3 linked regions of the Tamandua tetradactyla genome follow. The protein of the gene in region 2 interacts with the protein of the main gene of each other region in a biochemical or structural test. Links are inferred from orthologs where the notes say so. Each region holds a gene or a part of one and is shown on either strand. Other genes may lie near its edges.

Region 1 (9,605 bases), on a different chromosome or scaffold from region 2:
TCTATTTCAGTTTAGACGGACAAAACATGAAGACTATCACAAAGAAAACAAATATTCCAATATTTTATACTGACATAATTATTTGGAGAGTATTATAGCATTTGCAGTGTAATCAGCCTGAAAATTAAGGAAAAGATGTATTGCCCACTTAAGGGAACCACTACTTTCATCTAAAGGGTTTAGCACAGTGCCTGGCATATGATTGTTGCATAATAAATATGTCATGAATGAATGAAACTCAATGAAAATAAACATTCTGATGCTATCACTGGATTCCATGACTCCATACCTCATTGACAAAGGAAATTCTGGTAGACTTAAAAAAAAAAACACAATCAATATACCTTAGGTGACCACCAATATTGCTGGGCTCCAAGTTAAATCACAGGGCTAAAGAACAGAGGCACATTCAGTACAAACAAATATAACTGAAATGTATTAAACATAACAGATCTCATAAAGACTGGTTTTAGGTAAAAATCTACAAGTAATAGTTCAAGATCACAATCAGAAGACACCCATTAAAATGAACTAAGATTAAGAAATTTTAATTAGTATGATATAGCAAATAGCACAAAACAAATAGGTAGTTTTTGTCACTCCTTGGCAAACGGAAAACAGAAAAACACCTCCTGAACAAAACAGCAATATGGCCTTAATTTTAAGCAAAGAAATAAAGCAAAGGCAGCTTAAAATCCAACTTGTTGAGAAGCAGGCTGTTCTGAATAATGTGAGTCCAACTGTCCTGTGACCTATGTGATATTATGTAAACGCAAACAATGACTAAACCTCAAGGACATTCCAGGTATATAACAAGTTACACTGGGTTACAAGTTAAGTCTGTAATTTAAAGTCATATTTTGTAAAGCATCTTGATTAATACTGTTATCCAAAATATGAGAAGTAAACAGTATTTTTAGTTTAATAGAAATAACTATACCATATATAAGTATTTTCTTCACTTAAGATTATGCATAAATTTCATGGATCTTTGTATCTTTGAAGGGCTTGCTAGCATAAGAGAATTTTAGAATGAGAAGCTAATTATTAAGGTCCCTAAATAAAAGCTTAAGATCAGACAGGTTAAATAACCATCCAAGATCACACATACAGGAAAAACCACTATAGCTGACATTCCTTGGTACCATATTCAGCCATAATTGATTCATTCAACAAAATTCATTGAGGATGAAATATTTATAAGCCACTGTTTATAAGATCCCTGTATTAAGTTCACGATTTATGATTAAAGTTTTTAATCCAATTTTCTAATTTTATGATTTTGGAATTACTAGAATAGTCAGATGAAGGCATCAATACAATACTTATTAGGTTCCATTAAGCCTATTTTATGGTGAATATTAAAATGTAAAATTAAAAAAACACCAATGGACAGTACTTTTAATACAGATTCCATGAACAGATTTGCTGAGACCCCAAAATCATTTATTTTGATAAAAAGCCTATCTATGATATTCTATTGTTATTGAAAGCCACACCATACAGCAATGTACAATATGATTGTTTTCCTTTTCTTATCATTTGTAAACTCAGACTAGATTTGCATTCTCCTTTTATGGGAGGCTTCCATAAAAGAAATTTTCAATGTAACCTATATAACTTAAAATATAAATCTAGAAGCAATAGAAAGAGTTATTTTATACTTTGTACTGTCTATGAAACCAAGCCACAACAACTGTATTCACAGCTGCTAGCCAGCTAAAATCTTGGGCACAGAAGGTTGTCACTGGATGGCAGGTACAGGTTGGTTTTCACTCAAGTTGAGGAACTCTATTAGAATATAGAATATATTCTCAATATTCTATTGAGACATTTGATTTTGCATCCTTAATTAAAACCAACCTATCGTGTATGTTCTACGCACATACATTACACGCAAACCTACTTTGGTCCAACAGAGTCTTGCCATGAGAAAACTGTTACATCAATTTTTGGTGGTCAGAATATATATTTTAGGCTTGGCTTAAGAACACAGTGTATTTTCATAAACTCCAAATATCTCTTTGGGTCTTTATGCCTTTATGATTTATAATCTTATTAAGCAACACCTTATATTGGTTAGAATAGACTAGGCTATGCCCTGGTGACAAATAAAGCACGAAATCTTGTTAAGACAATAATGGTTTCTTGCTTACACAAAGCCCAGTACAAGTCAAGTGGTCTTTTTTCTCTTTCTTTAAACTTTTAGGGACTCGTCTTGTAGCTACTCCATCTGAAACGTGTGACCACCAAGGGTACCCTGGCAGGGAAAGGGAGGAATGAAGGAGGCACACTGGCTCTTAATTGCCTTTGCCCAGAGATGACATCTGCCACCATTATTCATAATTAGGTAGAATTAGTCATATGCCCCCAATGTAACTGCAATGGAAATATAGAGTGGCAGATTATGGATATTATGAGAACTGACAATTCGTGCCATATATCTATTGCCTAAGGTCACACTATCATCTTTTTCCTTCATTCAGCATACATTATTGATTACCTTCTTTTTGGAAGAAATTGTGCTGGGTGCTGGTGGATACAGGTCAGAAATGTCATCTTTAACCTCAAATAGCCTAAGAGACTGGGGAGACAGTTACATAAAATAATATTATAATAAAACTATAATGTGAGACAGAGAGGAAATGCCCTGAATAGAGTCATAAATCATGTTCTATTTGCAGGAGTAGAAAGGAAGATGGGATTAATTCTTATTGAAGAAATCCTTGAAATGCTACAGAAGTGACAGCATAGCTGGGCCTTAATGGAAGTTCAGACAAGTTTGATATGGAGGACAGAGGGGGGAATGAGAAAAGAAACATGCTATGGAGAAGAATGAAGAGAGAATAGGAACCTGGATTATGAATCTGTGGGTATAAAGTGACAGATGAGTCAGTGACCAAAACAGGGCCACAAGTTTGGTTATTACTTATTAGTTTATATACTACATACGTATTTACTGGCTTATTCATTGGTGGAGCATGAGACACTAGAATACTGAGTATATCGCTCTACTTTGTTTTCCCCAAAGTTATTTCATTTTATGGGTTAGAAATCAAGGAAAAATTTTTACCAGAGCATTCCAAATTCTAATCAAATTGTTTGCTTTTTCCTCAAATTGTATTTTTTCTCAATTTCCAAACAATATTAAGACTACATTTCATAGGATAAACTGGATTTTTTACACCTAATTCTTCAGATTCCTTTCTGTTCCAGGGAAATATTTATTTAGCATGTCTAGTTAAAGCATCAAGGTGATTTAGAAACGAGTCCCCAAATACTAACTTTAAGGCAGTAGATAATTGGATTAAGATTTTAATTGTTTGAAAAACAAGACTTACAACAACAACAAAGGTTATGATATTATGGTATGAATAGTGGTGTTTGGGAGCTGGATTAAATAAGCCAAGAATCATGGCCAATAAAGAAAAAATCAGAGAAGGAAAATGGAGCATAGGGTCAAAATTCAGGAAATGAATGGTCTTTCTTCTTCCTCTTCTTTAAAAAGAAATAAATGTGGTGAGGGGACAGGAAAAAGGTAAATAACAAATGCTTGAGAACATGACCTTGAAATATGTAGTTTTTACACTGCTTTCCTCCCAAGTTTAAGTATTACTTAATATTCTTTTTTGGGGGGGTAATACAAATGCAATGCTTATAGTCATTGCTATAATTATCAAATGACTATTATGCCTTATACAAATGCCTACTTATCCATTTTTTAGCTTTTAAAAATTTACAAGATTTTCTAGAACTTTTTTGCCTTTGTGCTTTAGTTTCTAAATTGCTTCTTTCTTTAAAACTCTCTCAAAGTTTCTGAAATTATTAATAGCCATCATTTATTCATCTCCTTTTATGTGCCAGACAATTTGCACACATCATCTCTTGTAAATTGTACGACAGCACTGAAAAGGTGATATTTCTAATTTAGCTACAGAAGGTAAAATTCAAATTTCGTTCAGGCATACAGGCTGGCTGTGGTGTACTTAAGACACTAATTATGAATGTGGCTGGATAACTTAACTTCTCTATATTTGTTTCCAAGTTTGTAAAATGTGAATCCTCATAGTAGTATCTAAAAGGGTTAGTGTGGGTATTAACTGAGATAATCAATGCATGTGCTTAGAATAGTGCTTGACAATATAAGAACTTAATAAATTTTATTAATATTACCACTACTATTATTACCGTTTCGAATCTGAGTCCCTCGGGTTTCAAAGCTCAGGTCATTTCCATTAAATAATCTTGGCTTCTTATAAATGATTTAACCCCTAGATTAAAAAAAAAGTTTTTGGGAAGTTGTATTATCTAGGATTGACACAGCATTTAATCTTTTTTGCTTTTTTTTAAGAACAAGAACATGGGGAAATGCCAGCTATTTGGTAGACAAACTGCAGTAACAGTTCTCGAATCCAAATCCACGTTTATTCCTCTGGACAGTTTCTTTTTCTCTAAATAACAATTTAAACATAGATACATAAAGGTCCCAATCTGCAGTTACTCAATGAAAGGAAGGATTTATAAATGACTTTTATCCATTTCTTTCTTATTTTCAAGTTCTCCATGTGCTGTTTCCTATACCCATCCCCCCATGGTGTTAACTACCCCCCCCCCCCCTTTAGTGATTTGTTTGGTGAAATAATCCCCAACCCCTTTCCCTCCAAAGGCTTTAGTTATAAAATGGCCCAACGCTTTCTCCCCAAGTTCACCATGAGGAACTTCTAGAGGCCCTGTATTCTGCCAGGCTCCCCTCATTTTGCATGCTTTCCTCTCCTACAGGTTAAGTATCTCCTTAGGGTATCTAAACAGAGCCACCGCACACCTGGTTCCTAGGTTAGACGCCAAAGTACCTTGGACAAACGTGTGGTGACCGATCTGGAACAACAGATCTTTCTATCTGCCTTTTGGCTTTTTCTCTTGGTCACAACTAAAATCAGAAGTCGGGCGCCGGGAGCCACAGGAAAGTCGCCGCAATCGCGCTGACAGCCTCTCAGAGCATGCTCAGTCGGTCTGGAGTCACCCGGCGGCGACGGTGCACCAGCCCCCCTTTCCCCCATCCGCCACCCGCGCGGGCCGCCCGCTGGGCCGCAGCAGAGCCGGAGACGCTCGCCCCTGCCCCGCCCCGCTTCCCCCCGGCGCGCGCTCCCGGGCACCCACAAGGGCGTTCATCAGCCGCACCACCCCTCCCCGCCGCCTACTCCTCTCCGGCTGCGGAGGGCGAGGACACGTCAAGGGACATAAATAAATAAATAATTCCATTCACCCGGTGGCAGCGAGACGAGCCGGCTGCAGCCGGGTGGGAACGGACAGCTACAGCGCCCACCCTGTGCCAGAGATTAGGTAAAGTAATAACACCCCGGGAGGGAGGGGATAGGAATTGGTGCAGGAGGTGCCCGCGGTGAGGAAGACGAGCGAGCGTCTGCTGTCGGAGTTGCCGGAGGACCCGCAACGGCCAGCCTGTGACAAATGCGCCAACGTAGTCTGCTGGCTAGTCCTTATATAGACAAAAAGAACAAAAAACCCAAACCCAAACCAAAGCAAAACAACAACAACAACAACAAAAAAAACCCCGACGCTGCAATGGAGAAGAGCGCGGGGTCCGCCGGGCGCGGGGCGCGCGCTTTGGAACGGCGGGCTCCAAGGGTCCCGGGCGTGCCTCCTCGGCCAGGAGGTGCTCCCGCGCTCCCAGTTTGTTCCCAGATAATTTGCCGGGGCGGGACCACCCCGTCTTTGCCTACGAGATTCCCGGGGCTAGTTCCTGCCCGGTGTTTCCGTGGCGCGTGCCTCTCGAGCATCCTGGACCTGCTGGCAACCTGGCGTCGTTGCGGCAGAGGTGGGGGCGGGGTGGCGGCGAGAGTGTTGGCTGGGGGAGGCTTATTTTTCAGCAGAGCCGCGGATGATTGAGGTTCCGAGAGGCTGGGAGCAGGAGACGAGACCCCAGGGTCGGTCCCCGAGAAGCATGGCAGGGCCGTTGGCGGACGGAGGTGTGCGTGTGTGTGTGTAAAGGGCTCCCGGGCAGCGGGGGAACGCTGACGGAGGTGTGCGTGTGTGTGTGTGTGTAGAGGGCTCCCGGGCAGCGGGGGAACGCTGACGGAGATGTGTGTGTGTGTGTGTGTGTGTGTGTGTGTGTGTGTGTGCGCGCGCGCGCGCGTAGAGGCTCCCGGGCAGCGGGGGAACTGACTTGGCTGGGACTGAGGAAAGCGTTAGCCCCTGAGACCCACGCGGAGCTTCCGTAGTGCGGCGCTGGGGGCTGGTGGGCGCCGGCCCGGCCAGGTGGTGCGGGAGACCGGGAGGCCTCTCACGTGCGAACCCGCTCAACCCTCAGCGTTTGCCGCCCGTCTGCTGCCGTTTCCACCCTTTTTTCTCCCCTGTTTCCGTGAAAGGGATTACAAGTTGTCTTGGCAGGGGCAGTCGTGGTCAAGGCCACTTTCTCGGTAGTACCAGGGAGGGAATTTTGTGGTTTCACTCCACGGGAATTAAAATTAAACACACATGCACTCACAAGAGGATAGGAGGAGCGGTTTCTCTGCAAGTGTCTAACGCTCCTTCCTGAAGAAGTGGGTTTGGGTTGGGTTGAGTGAGGGCAGGCTAGTGGCACTAGAAAAGTTAATACTGCGTGTCTTCCTTCCTTCTCGGTTCCCATAGGAGACGCAGCAGAAATCGCCACAAATGATCCAGGCAAGGTGAAAAGGATTGGGTAGGAGGAAACGGGAGGCACTAGATTCCCTTCTCTGGCGCTACCAGGCTAAACCCAAATGAGAGCCCTGAACTTTTAACAGACAGGTAGCTTGATTGGAACGGCCACTCCTAAGTGTGCATTTGGGGAAGTGTAATTGAAAAATCAGAGGGCAGTTGAGGGTTGAACAGGGTGACCCTTATTTAGCCTTGGTGAAGCAATCCTGGCTCAACTGTCTCCCTCTGAGCACGTTAACATTACATTAAGGCCAGTCTTAAGTGAATAAACTCAGGAAAAATATTACTACCTTAAGCAACCCAGTGTATTGTGTAACAACTCAGAAAGTCAGAAATTCCTCTTTGTAAATATTCACAGCGATAGTTTTCAATTATGTACTACTTTTTTTTTCCAGGGAGCATTTTAATAATGGAAAGTGGTCTAAAATTTTTAACATCTGTTTCCCATTGTCTACATTAGTGTCTCCACGTATAAGTCTTCCATTTGTTTCTGTTATTTCTAGGGAAGCATTTACTCTACCGCTATTAAAAGTGGGTTTATGTATTTGCCTTCAGCCCCTCCTGAAGGGAAAGGGGGAAAACTGACCTAAGGAAATAATTTCTGTCTGGAGTCATATTCTTCCATTATGGATTCGAAATATCAAGAAGTCTCCTGAGTTACTTTAAATTCTGCATTCATTCACCAAAATTTTTGAGACATTTACATGAAAAGGATAATTAATTTAACCTAGACTTCAAGCTCTGTTCTGTGCTTTTGTAAGGTTGAGTAGCTACTTCAAAATTTGCCTCTTTGGGCAAATGGTTATCCATAAAATGCAATGGGTGGTACCTACCTTGCAGTGCTATTGTGAAGGATAAAAAATATGAACACCTGGAGTATAGACCAGTTATTTTTGAGTCCCTACAGTGGTTCTAGACACTGCCCTGGTGTTACCAAGATGAATGAAGTTGGAAATCTTTTCCCATGAAATTCACATGCAGTCGTCCAGGTTAATAACCCTCTTTTCCCAATAGACAAGTAATATATCCCAAATAACCTTGGAAGAGATTAAACAGTTTAAAGAAATATTTGCAGGTTATAATGTATTTAAAAGCTAATTTGAGAAGGGTTGTCCCTTGCCTCAGAAACCCATGTATTGAGCCCTTCTTTTACCATTTGAGGGTGACCTGTATAAACAGACTATGGATGATTTTCTCCTTAATAGGGAGGAAAGATGTTCTCTGAAGAGGACCTTTGACAATAAACTGACTCCCTGCCTTTTTCTTTTTTTTTGAGAGAGAAGAAATCGAGCTGCAGTTTCTTCTACTCTTTGGACGGGCTAATCCACTTACTCCTATAAGCCCAAAAGTATGGTAACTATAATAACTACAAGTCTATAAAGCTCTTGAAGCACTATGCTACCACTTTCCTGTATTAACTTCTTTAATCCCCATATCAACCTTATGAGCTAGGGCTGAAGTGCCTCCATTTACAGAAGAAGGGTTAAACCTGGTGAGGCTCAGGCAAGAGCCTGGTCTGTCTGGCTTTAACCACTCGGTCATACTGCCTCACATGAAGCTGAAGAGGCAGGAATCTTTTGTGTCATGTTCTCCATTGCCCAGAACATTGCATGGTACTTGGTAGATTTTGGCAATTGATTGTTGAAAGAACTGAGAAAGAAAAGGTGGAAGGAAGGAAGGAAGGAAGGAAAAAATCAACTTCTCTCTACTACAACACTCTAGAGGATTCCTTTGCCTCCTGTTGCAGCTAGTTCCTACTGCTCTTTTGTGTGAATTAGAAATGTATTCTCTCTCAGAACTGACAAATTAGCAAAAGGTGCCTACACCCCATGAAGATAATGATAAGAAACTTCAAGGTGGGAGGAATAAAAGACCATCATTAACGGGTTCAGCGTTCAAATTTTTAAGACACCATTAATTTATGCAATGCAGAAATAATACTTGAATGGTTGTTTTAAACACCTAAGAAAATAGCAAATGTAAGGTGTCTTATACTATAGCTCATAAAAAGAGTGGCATGCCACAAATACCAATTACATTCCTTTCCTTAACCCTCCCCAACTAACCCAAAAGTAAAACAAAACACTCCTGGCTCCCTTGTCCTGAATTAATCTGTACTCATCTGAATTTCCATATATAACTCTATCTGGACTTCTCTTACACCAATTATTCTATTTTATCTTGATCATAATTATTTTTGTAGGCATCTTATCTCTTTCTAGGCTTTAGGGATCTTGAGAGCAAAGACCATATTAGATTCATTTGGGATCCCCTTTGGGATCAGGTCACTGGGGGAGGACAGGGCAGAGGATAAAAGCAGGGACTATAGCATTCAGTGGGTTTGGTGTTGTTCTTGGCCCTGCCACTTACTAGCCAGGTCAAGTTGCAAATCCTGTCTAAATCTTGATTTCGTGTGTAAAAAGAGTGTAACTTTGGGGCAGGCCACGGTGGCTCACTGGCAGAGACCCAGGTTCGATTCCTGGTGCCTGCCTGCGTAAAAAGAAAAAAAACATCTTTAAAAGAGTATAACTTTGTATGTTGTTATAAAGATTAAATGAGATAATATCTGTAAAATATTTAACAGTGCGCCAGGCACATGCATAGAAAGGACTCAATACCTCGTAGCTAATTGTTACGTATTAAATATTTGGTCGTATGGCTTCTAGGTCATTATGAGACTTATTTTTCTTAACAGATTTTTGGGAACTCTGAAATGCCAAGCTTCCTCTCAGATGACAGCAATGCTGAATTGCATAATAAACCAGTAAATGATATCCCTTTCTCTGTGAGGTCATTCTGATTAGTTACAGGCTTTCTCAAAACTGTTTGGATCAAAGTGATTAGGAAATATGTTGGGAAATAACTGCACACTAAGTCCAAGTATGCAATAAAATTTGTTTTTTAACTTGTAA
Region 2 (10,145 bases):
GCGAAGCTGACGATTCTGATGGAGGGTCTGGACAAACTCCACAGGAGAGGCTCGCCGGCCGAAGCAGGAAGAGAACTTGTCTCTTCTGAATCCTCCTTAAAAGGCTTCCAGTGATTAGATTAAGCATCACTCACTGCAGAAGACATTCCCCTTGGCTGATTACAAATGGAATTAGCTGTGGATGCAGCTGATGTGATCATGATTTAATTCTATGAAATGTCCTCATCGCAACAGGCCAGCACTTGCCCAACCGGACAAACAGGTACCACCACTTGGCCAAGTTGACACATGAATTGACTGTGACAATCAGCTAGCTCACGTACCAACATATAGCAAACACTGAATAAATGCTATGTATGTATTATATGTACATGTAGCAGCCCTCCTGCCTACCCCTTGTCTCCATCCTCTACTCCTAGTTGGGATGTGTTGGGCTGTCGATAGTTAGGACTACATCAATGGCTATATTCCTGGGACTTCAAGTAGAACCCTAAGTATGTGGTCTCAGTGAATTTTCAGTGGTTTGGAGTCATTCCCCTATGGTTGGACACTAGTTATTTGCCAACCTAAGGCTGATGAGGATGTCTTGTCTATGTAACTGCTTGCTTGTGAGTTGTTTTTTTGATGGTATCTGTTCTCATTTGCTAGCTGCTGGAATGCAATATACCAGAAACGGAATGGTTTTTAAAAAGGGGAATTTAATAAGTTGCTAGTTCACAGTTCTAAGGCCGAGAAAATGTCTCAGTTAAAACAAGTCTATAGAAATGTCCAATCTAAAGCATCCAGGGAAAGAGACCTTGATTCCAGAAGGCTGATGAAGTTCACGGTTTCTCTCTCATCTGGAAGGGCACATGGTGACCACAGCGTCATCTGCTAGCTTCTTCTCCTGGCTTCCTGTTTCATAAAGTTCCCCGGGAGGCATTTTCCTTCTTCTCCAAAGGTTGCTGGCTGATGGACCCTGCTTCTTGTGACTATGTCGTTCTGCTCTGCTCTCTCTGAATCTTTCATTCTCCAAACTGTTTCCTCTTTTATAGGACTTCAGAAACTAATCAAGACCCACCCAAATGGGTGGAGACACGCCTCTACCTAATCCAGTTTAACAACCACTCTTGATTACATCACATCTCCAGGGAGATCTAATTACAGTTCCAAACCTACAATACTGAGTAGGGATTAGAAGAAATGGCTGCCTTTACAAAATGGGATTAGGATTAAAACATGGCTTTTCTAGGGAACATACATCATTTCAAACCAGCACAGTATCTATGTGGAGGGTTCTACTCAAAGTCACAGGGAGTGTACACACTGATGTTGCCCTAATAATTTATTGCTCAACCCAACCCAGATAGGAGTGGGGGATGGAGAGATGGAGACAAGGGGCAGATATGGAGGGTGGTTGAGGTGGGTGATGAAGTGGAATTTTTCTGAAAATGATCACCCTTCTCTTCTGTAATTGGCAGTTGTCTAGCAGAATGCCCAGGTACTAGCATCAAACAGGCCTGGGTTTGAATCCCAGCTCTGCCCCTCTCATAAGTGTGTGGCTTAGACCAATGAGGCCTTCTGAATGGGATGTTTTTCCTTCTGTATAATGGAGGTGTTCCTAACAGTAGCTACTTCATGAGGCTGTGGCAAAGATGAGATAACATATGGAAAATGCTCAGTTCCAGACCTGGGCAATATAATAAACATTCAATAAATGAAAGTGATTATATGAATAACATGTGGTTCACAGCATAATACAAAGAAATTTTCACACCATCCCATGAGTTAGGATTATGATCCCCATTTCACAGATGAGGAAACTGAGGCCCAGAGAAGTGACGTGACTGGCCCAAGGTCAACATGCAGTTAACAGAGCGTCTGAGCTGGAACCAGTCTCCAAATGCCCAGACTCAGAAGCCTTCCTTGCAGCCCTCTCTCCATACACCAGGATTCCTGGGTTCTCCTCTAACCACACTTCAGTATGGGACTTCAGTGTGGGGCTTCTCTGAGCCTCAACCACTCAATTGTGAACGGAATAGGACATTAGCCTACTTTTTTTTTCAGGAAGTAGATTTTATTTTCTATGGCCATAGGGCTCAATCAAGTAGCTCTGAAAGTCTGAGCCCTGAACAAAAGGTTAACATTAGTTTTTATAGACAGGATGACATATTAAAGATAAGGTAAATGATTGGCTGGTTTAAGTTGAGAAGGACACAAACCTAGGTCACAGAAGCATATGCATCCTTAAGGAAGGAGTCTCCATCCCAGCTGTCTTATCTCACCTGCCTGCAGTTTCACCCATTCCTGAAGGTCAGGAGAGGGGGTTTGGGGATTTTCCACAGAGGAGGCAGCTGAACCAGAAGAAGCAGCAGGGAGTGGGGGGTGGGTGGGGAGAGGCCTGCCTGCTACATTTCCCCCTTTGATGCTTACCCCAACTTATAGGAGGGGTTATAGCATCACCTATATTTCATTTTTGTTTGTTTGTGTGTTTTTTTTTGCTGCAAGTGTTGATATGTCCCAATCTGAGCTAGATGTGGAAAGAATGTAGTCATGCAGAATTTAGGCCCCTGCAAAGTTGGGGGGTGGTGGTGAGGGTTTGTACCCCGCTGCTGTTGGCCTCAAATTTTCTCCTGATGGCCCCTTTGTGACTGTGCCTGTCTTAGGTTGTTCCTCCCCTGAGGAATCTTACCCGTCTTTGGCTAACCAGCCATCTTCCAGGGCCAAGCAGGGTGATGTGAGGTGTGCAAGTGAGGAAGGGGCAATGCCCCCCCCCCCCACAAGAGGGTCTGATCTGTCTCTTTAACAGCCTATGTACCCTGGCCTTTATGCCCAGCACCTGCTTTGGGATTCCTTTACCTGCTGGCGGGGCATCAGCTTTGGTCTAATGTTTTTGGGAACCCAGATTTTTTGTTTTTTTTTTTTCAGTGAGGGCTTAGCTTATAGCTTTGGGCAAGAGATAAACTTAGCCCCAGTTCCCAGGAGGCCTTTACAGTTTTGCCATCCTAGAGTAGTGAAGATAGCAGTACTGAACCCGGTGTGGTGGGATTATAGCATACTAGGCATCTTTCTTTAGGGTGCATACAGAATAATTCATGTTTGAGAACTGCCCTGGCATGAATACTGGTTATAGTTCTTATCTTTTTCTAACATAGGTAGTCTTGAAGCATGCCTGGCATGCATCATCCCCCTTGGAAGGGCTTATGATCATGTCAAGCAGATACAAAGGAGTGAGGCTAATGGTGCTGGTTATGGGGAGTGCCACCACACAAATGTACAATTAGCCTCAGGGAAGGAATGGAGACACTCACTCTGCGCAGCGGCTAGGAAGGGGGAAGTTAGCTGGGTAAGAGGGATTCTGTCAAATGAGTAAAGTTGGTTTTCGGGAAGAACTCCAGGGGACTGATTTTCAGGCGGGCTAACACCACTAAACAAAAGACAAACGTGAAGAGCAAAAAAAGAGAATTAGTCCACAGACCCAGCAGACTGGGATGGCCATGTGTTGATTCTTTAATTTTCGGCTGTACGCAGATCAGTCAGCTTCCGGGGTGACTGAGGCAGGGCTCGGAGATCTCCTCAGGCTTCAGCTGGGTGTTGACTAGCTGCTTCTGGTGAGCTAGAGCAGGGCAACGATTGTCACTCAGGCCTTACTTGTGGGCTGGTCAGCTGATCTCAGCTGCGAAGGAGAGGGAGTGCAGTGGCTCCCGGAGAACAATGTGTGTCAGGTGTTCAGGATAAGGGGTGCATTCCCAGGGGTTGTCTGTGGTGGCCCTTTTGACCTGAGAGTGGTGAATTCATAGGATGATCTTCACGGCTTTGATGGCTGTTAGGGTTACTTACAACAACATGGTAAGGACCTTTCTATTAAGGACCAACCCTATTGAGGCTGCAGGGAGCCCATTTTTTTTTTTTCCCCCAGTCTTTTACCCATACCATGTTTCCTGGCTTAATCTCAGGTAAGGGAGCGTAGATGCTAAAGAGTTTGGGTACTGCTTTTAACACCTTCCCTTTTAGTTCACCTTAAACTTTCCCTGATTTTGACCATAATTTCCTTTTTTACAAACCTTTGGCAACTTATTATATTTGTTCAGGCTTTGTCTTACATTTTTTATTCTGTAACAGCCATTTATTTTATGTGAGGGCAAAACTACTCTCCTTTTCCTTTTAGTAAAAGCATATCTTTTATATCCTTCATACTTAAGTCATTATTTAAAGCAAATATTTTACCACACACAATTACTATTAAAATTGAATTTGTCAGAATAATGTTCAATATTTAAAATGCTTTAGTTAATGCATATTTGAAACCTTAATATACATTTTTTAAAATAAGGATTGATGGCACAGAATAAAGATTTTTAAAACTCTGTACGGATAAAATTTGCAAGCAAGGTGTTTCATAATATTAAACAGCTTTTTCAAGTTTAAAAAATATGAAACATTAAACCAAAGGGGAGCCACAAATTTGGAATCAAAGATAATGGGGTTTGGCTTAATCCTTTGTCTGGAAGAAAGGGAGTAAGTGAGGGTATAGCGGTACCAAGGGAGCTGGATGCAGGTCTTCTGCCTTGCCAGGAGTAGGAGCACTACTCATTTTATGATCATAACTTGGTTTACATTTCTTTTGTATACATTTTAAAAATTTAATTCTTTGACAAAACATTAATTTTTTTTGGTTAACCTTAGCTTCCAGCAGGCCTTGGAACATTTCTCTGTGGGAAATCCTATTACTGGTTTTGGGAAACCATTTCCCATTTTATATACATACATATATATATAATGTACATATATATATATACTTTTTGGCCTTTCCTTTCCCTGTATTCCAGTCTCCCATGTTTCCCAGCTTTGCCATTTTATAAAGTGTACCAGGGTCGATTATTTCATGGCCACATACTGTTAGCAGGGCATTGCTTATTGCATCTTCGTGCAGCCAATGTCAGCAAGTTAGAATTTTTTCCAGTTTGCTGATTAAACTTCTGAAAAGCAGTCTGTATGAAGGGACTGGTGCTAATTTCTGTAAATTTCATGCAATCAGCATAGTCCAGCACCACTCCTTCAGCCCCTGCATCAGCAATTCTAACCATCCAGGTAATTAATGGCTTACAAGGTTTTGTTTGTTTGTTTTATCTGACAAGCTTTTTTTAATTTAAAATACTTGCTTTTTTTCCATTATCTGCTTTGTCCACACATTACCATCCCACTTATCAGGGTTTTAATCAGTAGCGGCAGTGGCTAATACCATACGTATCTTCCCTTTGTTCACTTTACCTTGTTTCTTTTTATTTTTTTAAATTAATTTTTTAATTAAAAAATATAACAACAAACAGACAAAAACATTCTTAATACATCATCATTCCGTTCTACATATATAATCAGTAATTCACAGTTTCATCACATAGTTGCAGGACATTAGCCTCTTAAAGTCTCCTTCAGTTTTTAACTGGGTAACATGCCCACCCGTTCGCCAAGCCCTAAAGGCAGCAGTTGCAAGGTCAGCCCCAGTGGGCGGGGCCTGCAAGCACCAGAAGCCACGCCCACACAAAACCACGCCCCAATGCCAAAATGCCCCGCGCCAAACTCGGAAACGAGATTCTTCCGAAGCTCGCCCACTAGCAGCTACACCTGCGTTATGCCTCGCGGCTCGCTGTCGACTTCTTAAACTCAAGCCCTGTCCCTGGTGTCCTCAGCTCCTACGCCCAAAGCTTCGCATTAGGCCTTACGGTCCTTCCCTTGTTCTTGTGCTCACATCTCTGTGAGCGACGGCCCAGAGCCTCGACGGCCCTGACCAGAGTTGAGTCTCCCTCACAGGAATCTTGGCCTTTGGCCTCGGTATGAAGCCCCGCCCCCTGAACGGCTCCGCTTGGGCATCCGCTCCTCACCAGCTCCTCGGCTTATTTCGGGGCCCGGGCCTTACGGCCCCACCCTCTAGTAGCTCTATTCTGCTCCCTTGGGCGTCTGACCTCGCCCAGCCTCCCGCGAGGTGTCAAGGCCCCGCCCTCTGCGGTTAGCCACACCCACGTAGCCCCGCCCCCTCGAGACTCCACCCCCAGCGGCCCGGGGTAGGGTGGCTGCTGGCCCAGACGGGCCCCAGCTGCCCTCTGCCCTGGGTGCTCGGTCGGAGCGGGCCGGGCACAGCGGGGCAGAGTGAGCGCGGCGGCGCGGGGGCCCGGAGGCGAAGATGGCGGCAGGCAGGCGCGCCCCGCGCACCGGGCTCTTGGAACTGCGCGCCGGGGTGGGCTCCCCCGGCGGCGGCGGCGAGCGGTGGCAGCGGGTGCTGCTCAGTCTGGCGGAGGACGCCCTGACTGTGAGCCCCGCCGACGGCGAGCCCGGTCCCGAGCCCGGCGCCCCGCGGGAGCCCGAACCCTCGCAGCTCAACGGCGCCGCCGAGCCGGGAGCGGCGCCCCCGCAGCTGCCGGAGGCGCTGCTGCTCCAGCGGCGCCGCGTGACGGTGCGCAAGGCTGACGCCGGTGGGCTGGGCATCAGCATCAAAGGTGGGCGCGGGGGCACCGAGGGCACGGAGTCGTAGTGTCTGTGAGGCCGCCGACGACGCAGGGGTCGTGGGGACTGGTGCCGAACGGAAGCCGTGGAATAGGGAGGCCTTGGGTTTGAGGGTATGGGGTGGGGGTGTTCTGAGGCCACTAGGCGCACGGGGGCCTCCAAGGTCAGAGACTTGGGGTCTGTGACAGTACAGTGGGGAGCCAGGGACATGGGATTTTGGGAGTCGAAGTCACCGACGGAGTAGGTGTGGAGGGCATTGGGGCGCACCACGGAAACGTGGGTGGGGAATTCTATGTGGTGGCTTAGGGATCTGCGGGAACAGCTAGCACGGGCACCAAGGACAAGAGGGGCCCAGGAGAGCAGAGGGTGGAGAAAGGGGTCGAGGCCTGGGACACTACTTAGGCAAGGAGAAGCAAGTCCGTGAGACAACACCAAGGTGGAGGGAGTTTGGGAAGGACGTGCATGGGTAGGGCCCGTGGGTGGAGGCACAGGCTGGAGTCGCAGACGGGCCAGAAAGGATGCAGAAATCTGAGGACCCGGGACAGCTGTTTGCCTAGGCAGGGAGCCCTGACATCTGGGTTTGAATCTGGTGATCTGACCCTTTCTACTTTGCACAGGATTGAAAGGGGAGACACAGAGTTGGTACTCCTCTTTGAGCTCCCAGCCTGTGGACGGCTTTCTTTGGGGACTCATTTAGGACTCTGGACTTAAGACAATCCGCTTTCCATCTATGAACCTCAATTTCTTCAACTGCACGAGGATAATGATAAAGTTGTGTTATTTCTGTAAGCACAGAAGTCCGAAGTGCTGACCCTGCCAGCGCATAGTAGGGGCCCAGTTAATTATCGCTGTTATTTGAGAGGAAAAATGGAGGTCAGGAGAGGCTCCTAAAGCAACTGATCACAGTGTTTAAACTCCCTGCACACCTCCAGCTGCTGAGCTCACCAGTCCTGCCTGTCTGCTTCCTAGGGTCCCAGCTCTCGGCGAAGTGTTACCTGCCACGGAAAAGGGTGTCAGTCTCTGTTTCACCCTGAATGTACGTTGTCCCCTCTCTGGGTCTCCCTGGTGCTAACTCTGTTCACTGGTGCCTCCAGATCCTTTAGCCTGGGGCTGGGGATGGTGGCAACTGTCACCACTGTGTACCAGGTGCTGTGCCCAGTACTGTAGGCTCATGAGCCACTTCATCCTGGCACCAGTGTTGAAAGATAGGGAATATAATCCCATTTTTTTGCAGGTGAGGAAACGGATGCTCAGAAAGGTGCAATGATTTGCCCAGGGTCACATAGTTAGCTCCAGAGCTAGGATTAGAGCCTCAATTATCAGGCACATGTCCTCCCTAGAGATTGCCCAGGGTGATACTTACATGTGGAAAGGCAAACTGCCAGGCAGCCAACCAAAGATGTCTAAAAGGGGAAAGTGGTGAAACCAGGGACAGGTACCAGTCTTGTTCCCAACCTCCAGCATGGCATAGGGCAGCAGGGCCAATCCAGAAATGGTACACTCAGCTTGTCAGAGCAGGTTGTAATCTATAGTTCATATAGGTCAACCCTTCCTTTTTTTTTTTTAATTAGAGAAATTGTAGGTTTACAGAGAAATTGTGCCTAACATACAGAATTCCCACATGTTCTCCTATTATTAACACTTTGCATTAGTGCCAACTCTCCCATTTTGCAGATGGACAAACTGAGACCTCAGAGAAGAGCAGGGACTTTCCAAGGTCACATAAAGTTACTCTCAAGCTGCATACTTCCAGATGGGGGTGATGGTCTTTTTAGGAGGCTTCAGAGGAAGTGCAAGTTCCATGGGCTCCTGTCGCCATGGGCAGATAGGAATGACCATATATTTCAAACTGGACTGAATCCCTTGTTTTAGGAGGGGGAAGATAGAGATAAATAGAAACTCCTTCCTCCCCCTAGGCCTTAAGTTCTGTGCAGCATGATGAACAAACTATTGAGTATATGTGGAGGTCAGGAGAGTGTTCCAGCCCCAGCTCTGCCACCAATTTGGCGTGTGACCTTGTAACAATGAGTTCCTTTCTCTGGGGAGCTAGTTCTTCATCTTCTCATCTCTGGGGATGGACAAGGAATGTGATATCCGAGGGCCCACATTTGACTGGGTTCAAATGCTGGCCCTGCGGCTTACTAGCTAAGTGTCCCAAGCTTCTAAGGCTCCTTTGTTCTGAGATTCTCTTTAGTCTTCCACATTCCCCCCGCTCCTTTTCCAGCACTGGGAGGCCTTCAATAAATACTTTTGCCTTGACACGACTCCTAAGCATTGGAGCATCTGCCTCACCTTCTTTCTCCTTCTGTGCCTGTGTAGGGGGCCGGGAGAACAAGATGCCCATTCTCATTTCCAAGATCTTCAAGGGCCTGGCAGCTGACCAGACTGAGGCCCTCTTTGTGGGGGACGCCATCCTGTCCGTGAATGGGGAAGACCTGTCCTCTGCCAGCCACGATGAGGCAGTGCAGGTCCTTAAGAAGGCAGGCAAGGAGGTGGTGCTAGAAGGTAAGCACTGAGGTCCCCAGGGCCCTGAAAAGTGGGTGTGCATGTGTGTTTAACTTCTTCCCTGGCCCCCCTAGGCCTCAGATGGCCCCAGCCTGGCCGTGGGGGCTGAGAGATGGACAGGGTTGGAAGCAGACACAGAATTTGAAGGCCTACCCGGGGACAGTGTGGGCTGGTGGAGGGGAGCCTGCAGGGAGCCAGACCTACCTGGTTGTACCTTTCTTCTCTCCCACTCAGAGCTTTGTGGCCTTAGGGAAGTCACTTCGTTTCCCTCAGCCTTAGTTCCTCATTCATAAAATGGGATGTCACTGTGACCTTGCTGGGTTATTTTTATGAGCAGGATGAAAGGAACATGGCAGGATCTGGTACCCAGGGAGTGATTCAGGGAAGGAGACGGCCAGGGGACTGGGGAGGGAGCAGCCAAGATTCTTTCCTAAGGGACCTGTAGGTCCTTCTAGTGCCCAGGAGCCATAAAACCCTGAGACCCACCCTCCTTTGGAAGAGAACTTCAAGAGAACAGCAAGACATGACATTATTTGAGTGAGGATCAGAAAGGAGGTTTTTTGGTGTGTGTGGGAACCTTGGTTGGGTGGAATTAGTTACTGTCTCCTCTTTTATGGTCTAGGGAGAGATCCTTGCCTTCTCTGGGCCTCAGTTTCCCCATTGGTTGTAACAGACCTCCTGCTGTGATTGTCCCATATCTGCTTTTGCTATCTCTCTCCGGAGGTTTCCGCTTTGCATAGCTCTTTCCTCACACTCTATCAGCCCTGGAGGCCTGTGGGGGGGGTGGGGGTGGCTGAGGAATGTATCTTTGGCTCATGGCCCAGTGCAGGCACAGGGAGGTGGTAGGGGCCAGTGGAGAATGCTTTGGCCAGTAAAACTGCTGAGCTGAGTCACAGGCCCAGATCCTCATGGTTGCCTTGGTTTCTCCAAAGGGGTGCCCAGGAGGTCACAGAAGCAGACAGGCACCAGGTCTCTGGTAATCTTTGGCATACTTGTAACTCCAGACCTCAATTCCCTCTCAGTTTAATTTTATTTTAGGTGTATTTTTTTAAATTCCACTGATCCATTTTTTTTTATACCTAAAAAAAAAAAAGGCTGACTTTAGAGTGCTATTCCTAAAAGCTTAAGTATATTAATCATACTTTAAAAGTGAAGTTAAA
Region 3 (10,337 bases), on a different chromosome or scaffold from region 2:
GTACAGACCCAACAAGCTGGATAAGCAAACAAGAAAAACCTAAAAAACTCCGTTTGTAGACATATCATAGTCAAATTCAGAAAACTAATGATAAAGAAAAATCTTGAAAGCAGTAAAAGAGAAGCAATACCATATATAGCTTCAAAAACAATTCAAATGACAGTAGATTTCCTAGGAGAAACCATGGAGATTTGAAAGTAGTGGCATAGCATTTTCTGTGCAATGGAAGTCAAGAATTGTCCATTTCCAGAAAACACAGGAGGAAGCAACACTTCGAATACATTATATGAAGCAAGCAGTACTCTAACACCAAATTTAGACAAGCAAATTATAAAAAGAAGTCTATAGACCAGTATCCCTCATGGGGCTGGTGACCAGAAAAAAAAAAAAATCCTTAACAAAATTTAGACCAATATATTAACAGGCTAAAGAAGAATAATTGTTATGGTGCAGGAAAAAAAATTTGATAAAATTCAACACTCATTCATGATAAAAATTTGGACAACTAACACTAGATGAGGGTTTAGTCATCTTGATAAAGATATCTGTAAAAATACTATAGTCAATATATTTGCAAAAGATTGAAGGCTGTATTCATAATATTAGGAAAAGGGCAAAAATATATGCTCTCAACATTTTCATTCTTAGTACTGGAAATTCTAACCACCATAGTAATGCAAGAAAAGTAAATAAAACCTTATAAATCAGAAGGGAGGCAATAGATAAAAAACATCCTTATTTATAGAATTATGTAGAAGAACCCCGGAATTCTGCAAAAGAACGCCTAGAACTAATAAGTAAGTTCAGCAAGGTCTCAGGAGTCACGAACAGCACACAAAAATCCATTGCCTCTCTATATTTAAGCAATTAAATAATGGAAACCAAAATTTAAAGTACATTATAATTTACACTCACTCAAAAAATGAAATATTTAATTATAAATCTAAGAAAATATATATGGCATCTGTATGCTGTAAACTACAAAACTGATGAAATCAAAGACTTAAACAAATGGAAATGTATACCATAGTCCTGGACTGGAAGATTTAATATATGAAAGATGTAAAGTCTCCTTGAAAATGCATCTACATATTATTAATGTAATTTTATGAAAATATCAGCAAAATTTTTGTTGGAATCCTGTCTTATTTTTCTGGTCTCAGTGCCTCTAAACTAGCATATTTTTCCCACTGGCAGTAACTAAAGATAGATTAAAAAGGAAAAAAAAATCTAAGAAATATAAGCCTTTAATAGAAGGCATCATTTCATATTTCAATAAATATGGATCGTTGGGAGGGGAGACAGAAGTGGCCAAACATGATTTTTTCCCTAAATCAATAGAATTGTGAACTTTATATAAATAGTTTAGGAGGTATGTTTCTTTCGAGCCTGTTATCCTATGAAACTGTATTAAACTTAAAGTTTGAAATTATTAAGCTTAATGTTTGAAATTGTTAAACAATTGAATAAGGGGCGAATGATTCAGCCCCTTCTCAATTTATCAAAAAAAACTTCTTTAGGGTTTTCAATTATTTAAGAATTCATTCCTATCTTGTTCCCTTTTACTTTTAGAGTACTAGGCTCTTTATTAGTAATTTGACTTCTGTTTTACAATACAGGGATTATTAATTTTGGAATATAAACAAGGCCAGTTTTCATTTTCTAACATGTACCATAAAACTGGAGGCCAAAAAAAGAATCATTAAAAAATATACTGATGTATGCATTCAATGTCATATAAATTTTACTTTGTGTTTTTGGACAAAGTATAGGTCTCTATCAATTTCTCTGTTAACAGTTATAACCTTAACATTTAAAATGATTTCAAGATCATATGCATATGGTATTTACTTAACTGTATACATTTAATTATTTTAATGTGCTTCTTTTTCAAAACTGTACTTCTGTACGTTATGCTGTGCTTTGTGTTCTTTGTGCAAACATACACATGAGAAAGAGAAGGCCATCACATATGTATTTGAAATGTGAAAATATAGTTTAATCACAATAAAATTACTGTTAAGCAAAGCATGATGAAAGAAATTTTTAAAATGTAGTATAATCAGAGATATACTGTCTTCATAGACTGAACTTCTCAACAGGGTAAGGATGCTAATTCTATATACTTGATGAAATTCTTATGAGAACACCAGTAATATATGTTGCAGACCTATCTGTAGACCTATCTGTGGATAAGCTTATTCCGAAACTTGTATAGGAAGACACAGAGTCTATAACTACTAGAGATATTTTAAAAAGAAGAAAATATGATTAAAATGCTTAGCCTTGTAGTATAACTATGGAAATTAAGACTGTGTGTTATTGGCAGAGGGATAGACGCATAGAACAATGGTGTAGAATCTCAATCTCAGAGATAGATACACATAAATATGCCTAGCTTATATTTGAAAAAATTATAAATGTAATTCAGTGGACGAAGGACAGTCTTTTCAACAAATGGTGCTAGACTTTGATACAAAAAAAGGAAAAGGAAACTGAATCTAAACCTCATACATTATATACGGATGAACTCAAGGTGAATCAGAGATTTCAGTTTCAATATAATGTAAAATATTAGAAAAACACGTGAGAAAATCTTTGCGATTTAAAACTTGATGAAGAATTCTGTATGTGACACCAAAAGCACCATTCATCAAAGAAAATATTTATCGAGATCGATGACTTTTGCTTTGCAAAAGACCCTGTTAAAAGAATGTAAATACAAGTTATAGACTACGAGAAAATGTTTGTAAGCCACATATCAAAGAAAAGACTCACACCTATCATATATAAAGAACTCTCCAATCTCAGAGGTGGGAAAAAAAAGAAAATCCAGTTTCCAATTTTGAGAAAAGACTTTAAACAGGCTTTATAGAAGAGGATATCTGGATGGTAAACAAGCACATAAAAAAAAAAATGTTCAACATCATTAACCACTAGGGGAATTCAAATTAAAAGCAACCTGAGATATCCCTATTCAATTAAGACTAAAAGAAGAAAGAAAACAGAAAGTTGACCACACCAAATTCTGGTGACGATATGGAGAAACTGAAGCACTCATTCATTGCTAGTAGATATATAAATGGCACAGCACCTCTAGGAAAGACGTTGACAGTTTCTTAACGAAACTAAACACATACTTACAACAGAACCCAGTACTTGCACTCTTGGGCATTAATCCCAGAGAAACTAAAAAGAAATATATACATTTTTGCAGTTTCAGAAAAAAGCAGTCACGTTCACATAACTCGGCAGTTGGACACCTGGACACTGATCCCAGAGAAATGAAGACAAATAAATCTGTACATGATTGGTTTCTGGCTTTATTTATAATAGCCCCAAACTGGAAACAACCAGAATATCTTCCAGCAATGAATGGTTCAACAAACTGGTTGCCTGCAAGTCGATGCAGGCAATAACTTAAATGGATTTCAAGGACATTATGCAGAGTGAAAAAAAGCCAATCTCAAAACATTACACACTATATGATTCCATTTACCCAACCCTCTTGAAATGATAAAATTATAAAGAAGAGATTAGTGTTTGCCAGGTTTTAGGGATGGTGGGGTAAGGGTGGCCAGTGTGCCTCTAAAGGGGTAACATGAGAAATATCTTTGCAATGGAATATTTCTGTACTTTGTGTGAAAAAATGACAGATATATACAAACATTGCACTACTGTCGGTTTCCTGGTTTTGTCCATAGTCATATAAGATGTAACCTATGCATTAAATTTGATAAAGGATGTATGAGAGGTCATCCACTGTCTTTGCAACTTCCTGTGAATAATTATTTCAAAGTAAAAAGTTACAATAATTTTTTCAAAACCTGCCAGTTATAAACTAAGAGAACATGCATAAGTTCCTTGACTGGTCATATTTATATTTGGACTCCTAAGAACTTCCAGATACAGATATTGTGATGACTAAAAGAAAATACGCAACTAAGGGCCACAGGAAAATAATTTGAAGGTCATAAAATTCTTTGACTGTTTGAGCTGATTTTTCTTTCATGTACCTTTCCATTTTTCCACTTACCTTAAGCATGTCTTCACACTAGATTCTAAAACTTCAAGGGAAGCGTACCTATTGCACATATAGCAGAATTTACTCTAGGTACCCAGTAAATTACTGATTATTGATTAATACTGAAATAGAATTAAGATTTAGCTGAGAGCATTCAGATTCAGTGTTTGGCACTTTGGATTTTACCTAAGATCGGAGGCCTAGTTGTTTGTTTTTAGAATCATATACTTCACGGCTTCTCAAACTTGAGCATGCTTTAGAATCACCTGTAAAACACAAAGTGCCGGGGGCTACCCTCCGGAGTTTGTGATTTTCCAGGTCTCAGGGGTATTTGTATTTCTAATCTCCCAGATAATGCTCACGCTGCTGGTTTATGGACTGCACTTTAAGAATCACAGATGCACTATATATTGGACTGGGAATGTGTCTGGGTTTATGTGTCTAGAAATCTCACAGTTCAAAGTATAGAAGGACTTATACTTTAGGTGAAATTGTGCCCTAGAGTGCAGAAAGATATTGATGCTAACATGCAGAATTGGATCTATGTTGGTGCAAAAAGATTTGTTTATTTTATGAATGAATGGAAATGTTTGCTTGTATGCATTTTCATGCACCCAAACTGAGGGGAGATGAGGTAATCTATGTATAGGAAAATTTTAAATCTATCTTTGGATAATCGTAATTTAAATCTAAGTATCGCAAATTAAGAAGTAGGCCTTATGTTTTATTTCATTTAGGTCTTGTTGGGGAAAATGGTACTAATTATGATGATATTCTAAAATATATGGTGTGTAATTAACTATTAAGATAAACCTTGTAGATTGACTCAATGTCAATTTTTTTCAGTTTTGTCTATAATTTATTTCCGAGCCAACCAATTTAATGTTCAGCATAGAAATCTGAGTCTGTCACATTAAAAATTGTATTATGAAAAAACAAATAATTTTAGTAGGGATTCTTAGAATTGGAAAAGGAATATCTTTCTAAAATGAGTTATCAACAGTTCCTATAAATATTGGAGTCACCTGTTGCATTAAAACCATGATAAAGAGAAAGAAACCTATTATGGCAAAGCATGATTCCCAATACCACTGAATGACACATTTTACCCTTGTTCATTTAATGCAGAAAGAAGTCTCTGCTGAAAAACCTTTTAAAAATTGATCATTAACTCACTAAGAGAATAATGCATTAATAATTGCCACCGAACGCATCGAGGAAAGAGTAATTTGTTAGTAAATAAGTTTTATCACAGCCCACAATGAAAATTTACCAGTTCAGGAAGATTTCTTCATTCCATTGTAAGAGTGCTCTTTATTTTAGCAGAAAACTTGTCCCGTGAGACCTACACACATTCTGCCTTCAGAGCTCAGCTGTTACATTCTGCCTTTGCTTCTCTTACGCACACGGTTGGCATCATCAATGCATGATTTTTTTATTCGTTCCCAAGGGTAGAAATGAACTTCCATAGACGGTGGCTACAGAACAAATGCATAGATTATTCTGGGCATTTCTTTTGCATCAGCTGAGCGTTGTTTTTGTAGCATGGTTGTGAGGGAAAAAAAGAAAAAAGGTGTTTAAAAGTCCATTCTCCATCGGGATGTTATGCTCTTCCCTTGCAGAAATCTGCATAAAAGTTACAGAAAGTATTGTTTACAGCTTTGCACTGTAGAGTGTTTTGTGTGTTTTGAAGGCTTGGACAGCAGGCACTCGGTCTACTGAGCTATTCTGGTTTGAATATTCTTCAGAACACAGTTGAACATTATTTGAACTCACAGGACCTGCCATGCTGGAATCACAACCTTATATGTAGTGGCCGTGAGCAGTCCTATTATGGGAAACCAACTTGAGAGAAAAGGCAAGTCCCTTGCTTCTGCGCAGGTCCTGGAATTTCAAATATCCAGGGGCCTCTACAGAATCCTGGCATCAGATGCTATGTTGACTCACTCAGTGTCAGGATCACTCACTTTCCCCCTACAGGACTCAGATCTTGGAGGCAATTACCTTCAGAGAGAAATGAACAGGAAAAACTGAAGTGTAATTTGTTTTTTAAGGCTGCTGAAGTTTATTGGTTTCTCATCGTTCCCCAGCCTGCTGGAGCAATAAAGTTGGCAGAAATTTTTACCAAGATTTTTATTGCTGCCTTGATATATACTTTTTTTTTTTACCCCAAATGCTTTGGTGGGAAGAAGTAGAGGACTGTTGTAAGTACAGAGTAACTTAAAATGTCTTTTGCCACAGTATACGTTTTAGTTTGACAAGTGTACTGATGAGGCAGATTGACTTTTAATTTATTACAGTGTATGAATGAGCATAAATGTTGTCTGATGCATATATCGTAGGCCTGTCTGTGTGCAGATGTACATCTCATTAGGGAAACTTTTCAACAGAAATGAGGTAGGAGTTAGTATTTTTGCCTTTCGCAAAGAGAACCATTTTCATTGCTGTGAAATAGTTTGTGTGACTTGGCTATCGTGATTATGTGATATTTCTGAATTTTGTAAAACATACATGTGGGGTAGTTTCCTGACATGCGCGCTCAGTGAAATCATGTCTGTATGGGAATGAGGCAGGTGCCTCGAGGTTAGAAAAATTTGATCAGGCAGATCATGGGGAGATAATAAAGACTCAAGTGAATTGTAATAGAAACAAGGGAGGTTGAGCAAAGTATTGATAAAGATTTAACTAGAAGCTCCCGTCTCACCTTTCATTTAGTATTTCAGATGTTCATTTCTGTAGCATTTCATGAGAAATCTTTCAAATGATGATATAGGATCTGTGCTGGCAAAGGACCAGAAACTCTCTTGTTGAGAAAACATCAAAAGACAAGCGGATTTGCAATCAAATTTTGCAGTAAAGTTACTAAAGGCAGTTCACTGTTTCGTCTCTGTGATGACTTCCCTTTTCAGGAAAGCTTTTTAAATTTGGCTTTCATATAAAATGCAATTATTATATTTGTTTTGGGAAGAGTCATGATGACTACTGAAAAATCTGAAATTTGACTGTCATGCAATAGTAAAAAAAACTATGTGAAAATAATAAGTGATGAGGACAGTGTGTCCCAAAGACATGGCTAGAGATTATCATTTTTTCCTGTAACCTGTGGATTAGAGTCATTCTGAAATAGATTTGAGGGTAATGCCTATAATTAAGAATAGAAAACTAAATGTAAGTAACTTTACAACTTTTAGAGAAAGAGTCAGAAGAGCAGTTCTCCCTATGAGAAAAACTGGTGGGAATACATTTGTTCGTTTATTGATCCATGTTAGATGCTGCACAATTTCATAGTATAACATTTGTATCATTACTTTCTTTACAAAAACATGTGTAGCACATATTCTTTGCACACACCCCCATTTCTCATTTGATATTATTTCTTTTGGATCGTTATTTTCTAAATATTACAAGAATCATTATTTTATTAATACTACCAGAATTAATGACTGGTGATTTTATATATACATATATAATTTTTGCCTACAAAAACTAAACTCATACACTAGTGCGTAGGCCAACTTTTAGAGAACAGCAAAGATGCAATTCTGGAACAAAGAAAGGCAAACTATTCTCGGTTTTGCATAAATATTTAAATGAGTTTTGTAATTGTAATTGGATGAAAGCTAACTCCTTTTGGGATATGCCCTTGTGTATGACTTTAATATAGCATGTTTTCAAACCATCAGATAATGCTTATGCTACATGGCAGTGGGTGTCTTAAGAGCAAGTGGAGATATTCACAGGGTTACATTATACATTAAATTTTAATGGTTGAAAATATACTATTATCTGGATGTATTGACATTTGATTCCAGTTTTGAATATTGCCTTAATTTCAAAAAGACAGCAGAGTACAATAACATCTTATTTGGCTAGTGTTTTAACAGAACAGTTATCCTTTAAAAGTGAACATTGCCAAACTAACGCAAATATTGTTTACTTTTAGAATTACGCAAAAATGCATTGCCAAAAATTATTCACATATTTCCTAGCTGATATCCACCTCACTCAAATTTTTTAGAATGGTGTAAAACATGTTGGGTTCTAATAAAATCACCTTAAAATTTCACCTGTGTAGTTTTAAAAGGACACCTTAAATCTGTGAAAAAGAGGCTGCTGATCTAAATACATATTTCATAATTTAAGCAGCAGCTTTGGGTGTCTTGATCACATAGCATAGCATTATGATGAATGTAAGGAAAAAGTCCATGCAGATGTTACTATAAACTAAAAAGAAAACTACACAGCATTTTAAGGATATATAATTTTATCTAAGAAAAATAAAGTTTTCTAGTTGGACACTATTCCATCTAGAAAGTACTGAAATACAGAGATTCTTCTTAGTCCTAAAGAATTCATTTGAAATCCTTGTAGTCCAAATCAGTTACTACATGTGAAAGAAAATGTCAAGTTCGTAGCCACTTGCGTGATTTAATAAAATAGATTAAAATCTCTGTTGTCTTGGAAAAGTCAGGTGATTGTTTGAATGTTATTTTATTATCTGTCATGAGGGCTTTATCTCAGAATTTAAAACTTGATTTCCCAAACACTGCTTCCCTTTCCTCATTCTACCTTATTAGTTCCCTACCTTATTAAAAACGGTTCCTCATATTTTTCATTAAGCAATTATTTTTGCATTGCAAATACAACAAAGGTGGTATGTTGACCTGAGTCTGCATGTTTATATCAATACACATTTAAGTCACAGCATACCAAGTTTTTTAAGAAATTAATTGAAGTTAATTGGAAATTAAACTTTCTTTAAATATGCTATTTTCTGCTCATATTTTGTTTTCTGTTTTCAAAGCAGATCACATTTCAAGGAATTGACAAAACTAATGTGTGTACTCTATTCCACAAAACAAAAAATCATGAAGCGCAAATCCACATTTTAGGAAGACTGAGATTTTACAATCGGGGTTTATAAGAAAATATTTGAATAGAAAATTAGAGAGGGTCTTGGGAGGGTCCCATGCAAGTGAAGGGTCTCAAAGCTTAAGCTTTAGAGGTTTCATGGGAAATCACCTCTGTGTGAAGAGAGTCGTTGTCATTAAATCTTTTCCCAATTACATTTTAAGATCAAATTGCTAGTTCTGTTTCTTCGGGCACATGTTATTTCTCAAAGACAACCTTTTATTTAATGCGTATTAGTGGGTTAGCACAATTTAAGATGGTAGGAATTTGACATTTCTGCCTTTCATTCTGAAAAAATACATTGATTAAAGTGGTGTCAAACTCAGCTAATGGAGGCGGTGCAGTTATTTCAGATACACAGGGTATGTAATTTGAAGGCAAGCCAAATCACAGTGAGATGGAATCACTTGTATGTTCAGGATTTGACTGGAGTCAGGGGGAGAAGGTAAGTTTTCTTTTTCACCAAGTCCTGCTAAAGTCCTAAGAGGTTTGCGTTCTGTTTACAGGGCATTTGGTTCATATTGGAATAGTTGTCGGGAAGGATATGAACTGAAGCATGGGGAAGAAGATAGTAAGATATTTGTAATTAAACACATCCAAATGGCTTAGAAGAATTTCATGCAAATGTTTCTCTTTGGAGAGTATACTCCCTGCAGCATACTGATTTTCAAAATGTAAACAAGCAAGTGAACACATTTTGCTCTTCACCTTTTCTTGATGTGAAAACATTTATTGGTTAAACTTTCTTGAGGTTTTACTCTTTCAAATATTAACTGAGTAATAATTCATTAACAGATATGTGAAGTTCCAAAGTTTAATTTTAACAGATATGAAAGTTAAAAATGACAATGCCACAGTATAGTTGATTACTTTGCTGGGCTGGTCTACTTAAACCACGGATAGAGTTGTCCCTCAAATCATCTCTTTGTAAGATGTCGAACTCCCTTCTCTTTAATCTTTTAGTGAACGTGTCTTCCACAGATTCTGATATACCGTTCTGAACGGAAGGGTGCCCCTGCTATTTGCACATCACTCCCGTGCAAACTATAGTTTGAAGCTTAGCAGCTGAAATGATTTGCTGTTTTTTTCTGGGAAGTTCTAGAATGAAAAGCTTGCTTTTCCAAAATATTATAGTACATTGTGATATTGGCTGTGCTTTTCCAAACTAGCGTCCCCCAGAGATTCTGATACAGGGGCATGGCCTTTCTCTTTCCCCATGGAAGAGTACTGTTCCAGATATGGCAAAAAAAGAAAAAGAGGGGGGTGCCCCAAAAACCTTGACTCGAGTGTTTTAGTGGCATCTGAATTTCTGAACCACAATTCTGACAGACAGCAGGTGGAGAAGGATGAGAAAAGAAATGGCCCTGCTGACTCGTGCTGCAAGGAATTCTTATCTCATGGC

The links. The genes of interacting proteins can lie anywhere in the genome.
Region 1: the proteins of SNTA1 (region 2) and SLC16A7 interact in a test that uses a peptide from one of them, tested with the Homo sapiens proteins (3 studies listed by BioGRID and IntAct, with this or other methods). The link is inferred for Tamandua tetradactyla from reciprocal best matches to the Homo sapiens genes SNTA1 and SLC16A7.
Region 3: the proteins of SNTA1 (region 2) and DMD form a complex in vitro, tested with the Homo sapiens proteins (2 studies listed by BioGRID, with this or other methods). The link is inferred for Tamandua tetradactyla from reciprocal best matches to the Homo sapiens genes SNTA1 and DMD.

What each region holds. Positions count from the first base shown.
Region 1 is NC_135333.1:127,020,448-127,030,052, forward strand, and holds the start of SLC16A7 (monocarboxylate transporter 2), read left to right. Parts: upstream 1-5,182; 5' UTR 5,183-5,340; intron 5,341-5,911; exon of another isoform or gene 5,912-5,984; intron 5,985-7,969; exon of another isoform or gene 7,970-8,041; intron 8,042-9,605. Other genes in the region: uncharacterized protein LOC143642624, read right to left, coding at 4,851-5,057. UniProt on the Homo sapiens protein: Proton-coupled monocarboxylate symporter. Catalyzes the rapid transport across the plasma membrane of monocarboxylates such as L-lactate, pyruvate and ketone bodies, acetoacetate, beta-hydroxybutyrate and acetate.
Region 2 is NC_135327.1:19,569,605-19,579,749, forward strand, and holds the start of SNTA1 (alpha-1-syntrophin), read left to right. Parts: upstream 1-6,029; 5' UTR 6,030-6,160; coding exon 6,161-6,473; intron 6,474-8,799; coding exon 8,800-8,985; intron 8,986-10,145. UniProt on the Homo sapiens protein: Adapter protein that binds to and probably organizes the subcellular localization of a variety of membrane proteins. May link various receptors to the actin cytoskeleton and the extracellular matrix via the dystrophin glycoprotein complex.
Region 3 is NC_135353.1:140,598,314-140,608,650, forward strand, and holds the start of DMD (dystrophin), read left to right. Parts: upstream 1-5,914; 5' UTR 5,915-6,197; coding exon 6,198-6,228; intron 6,229-10,337. UniProt on the Homo sapiens protein: Anchors the extracellular matrix to the cytoskeleton via F-actin. Ligand for dystroglycan.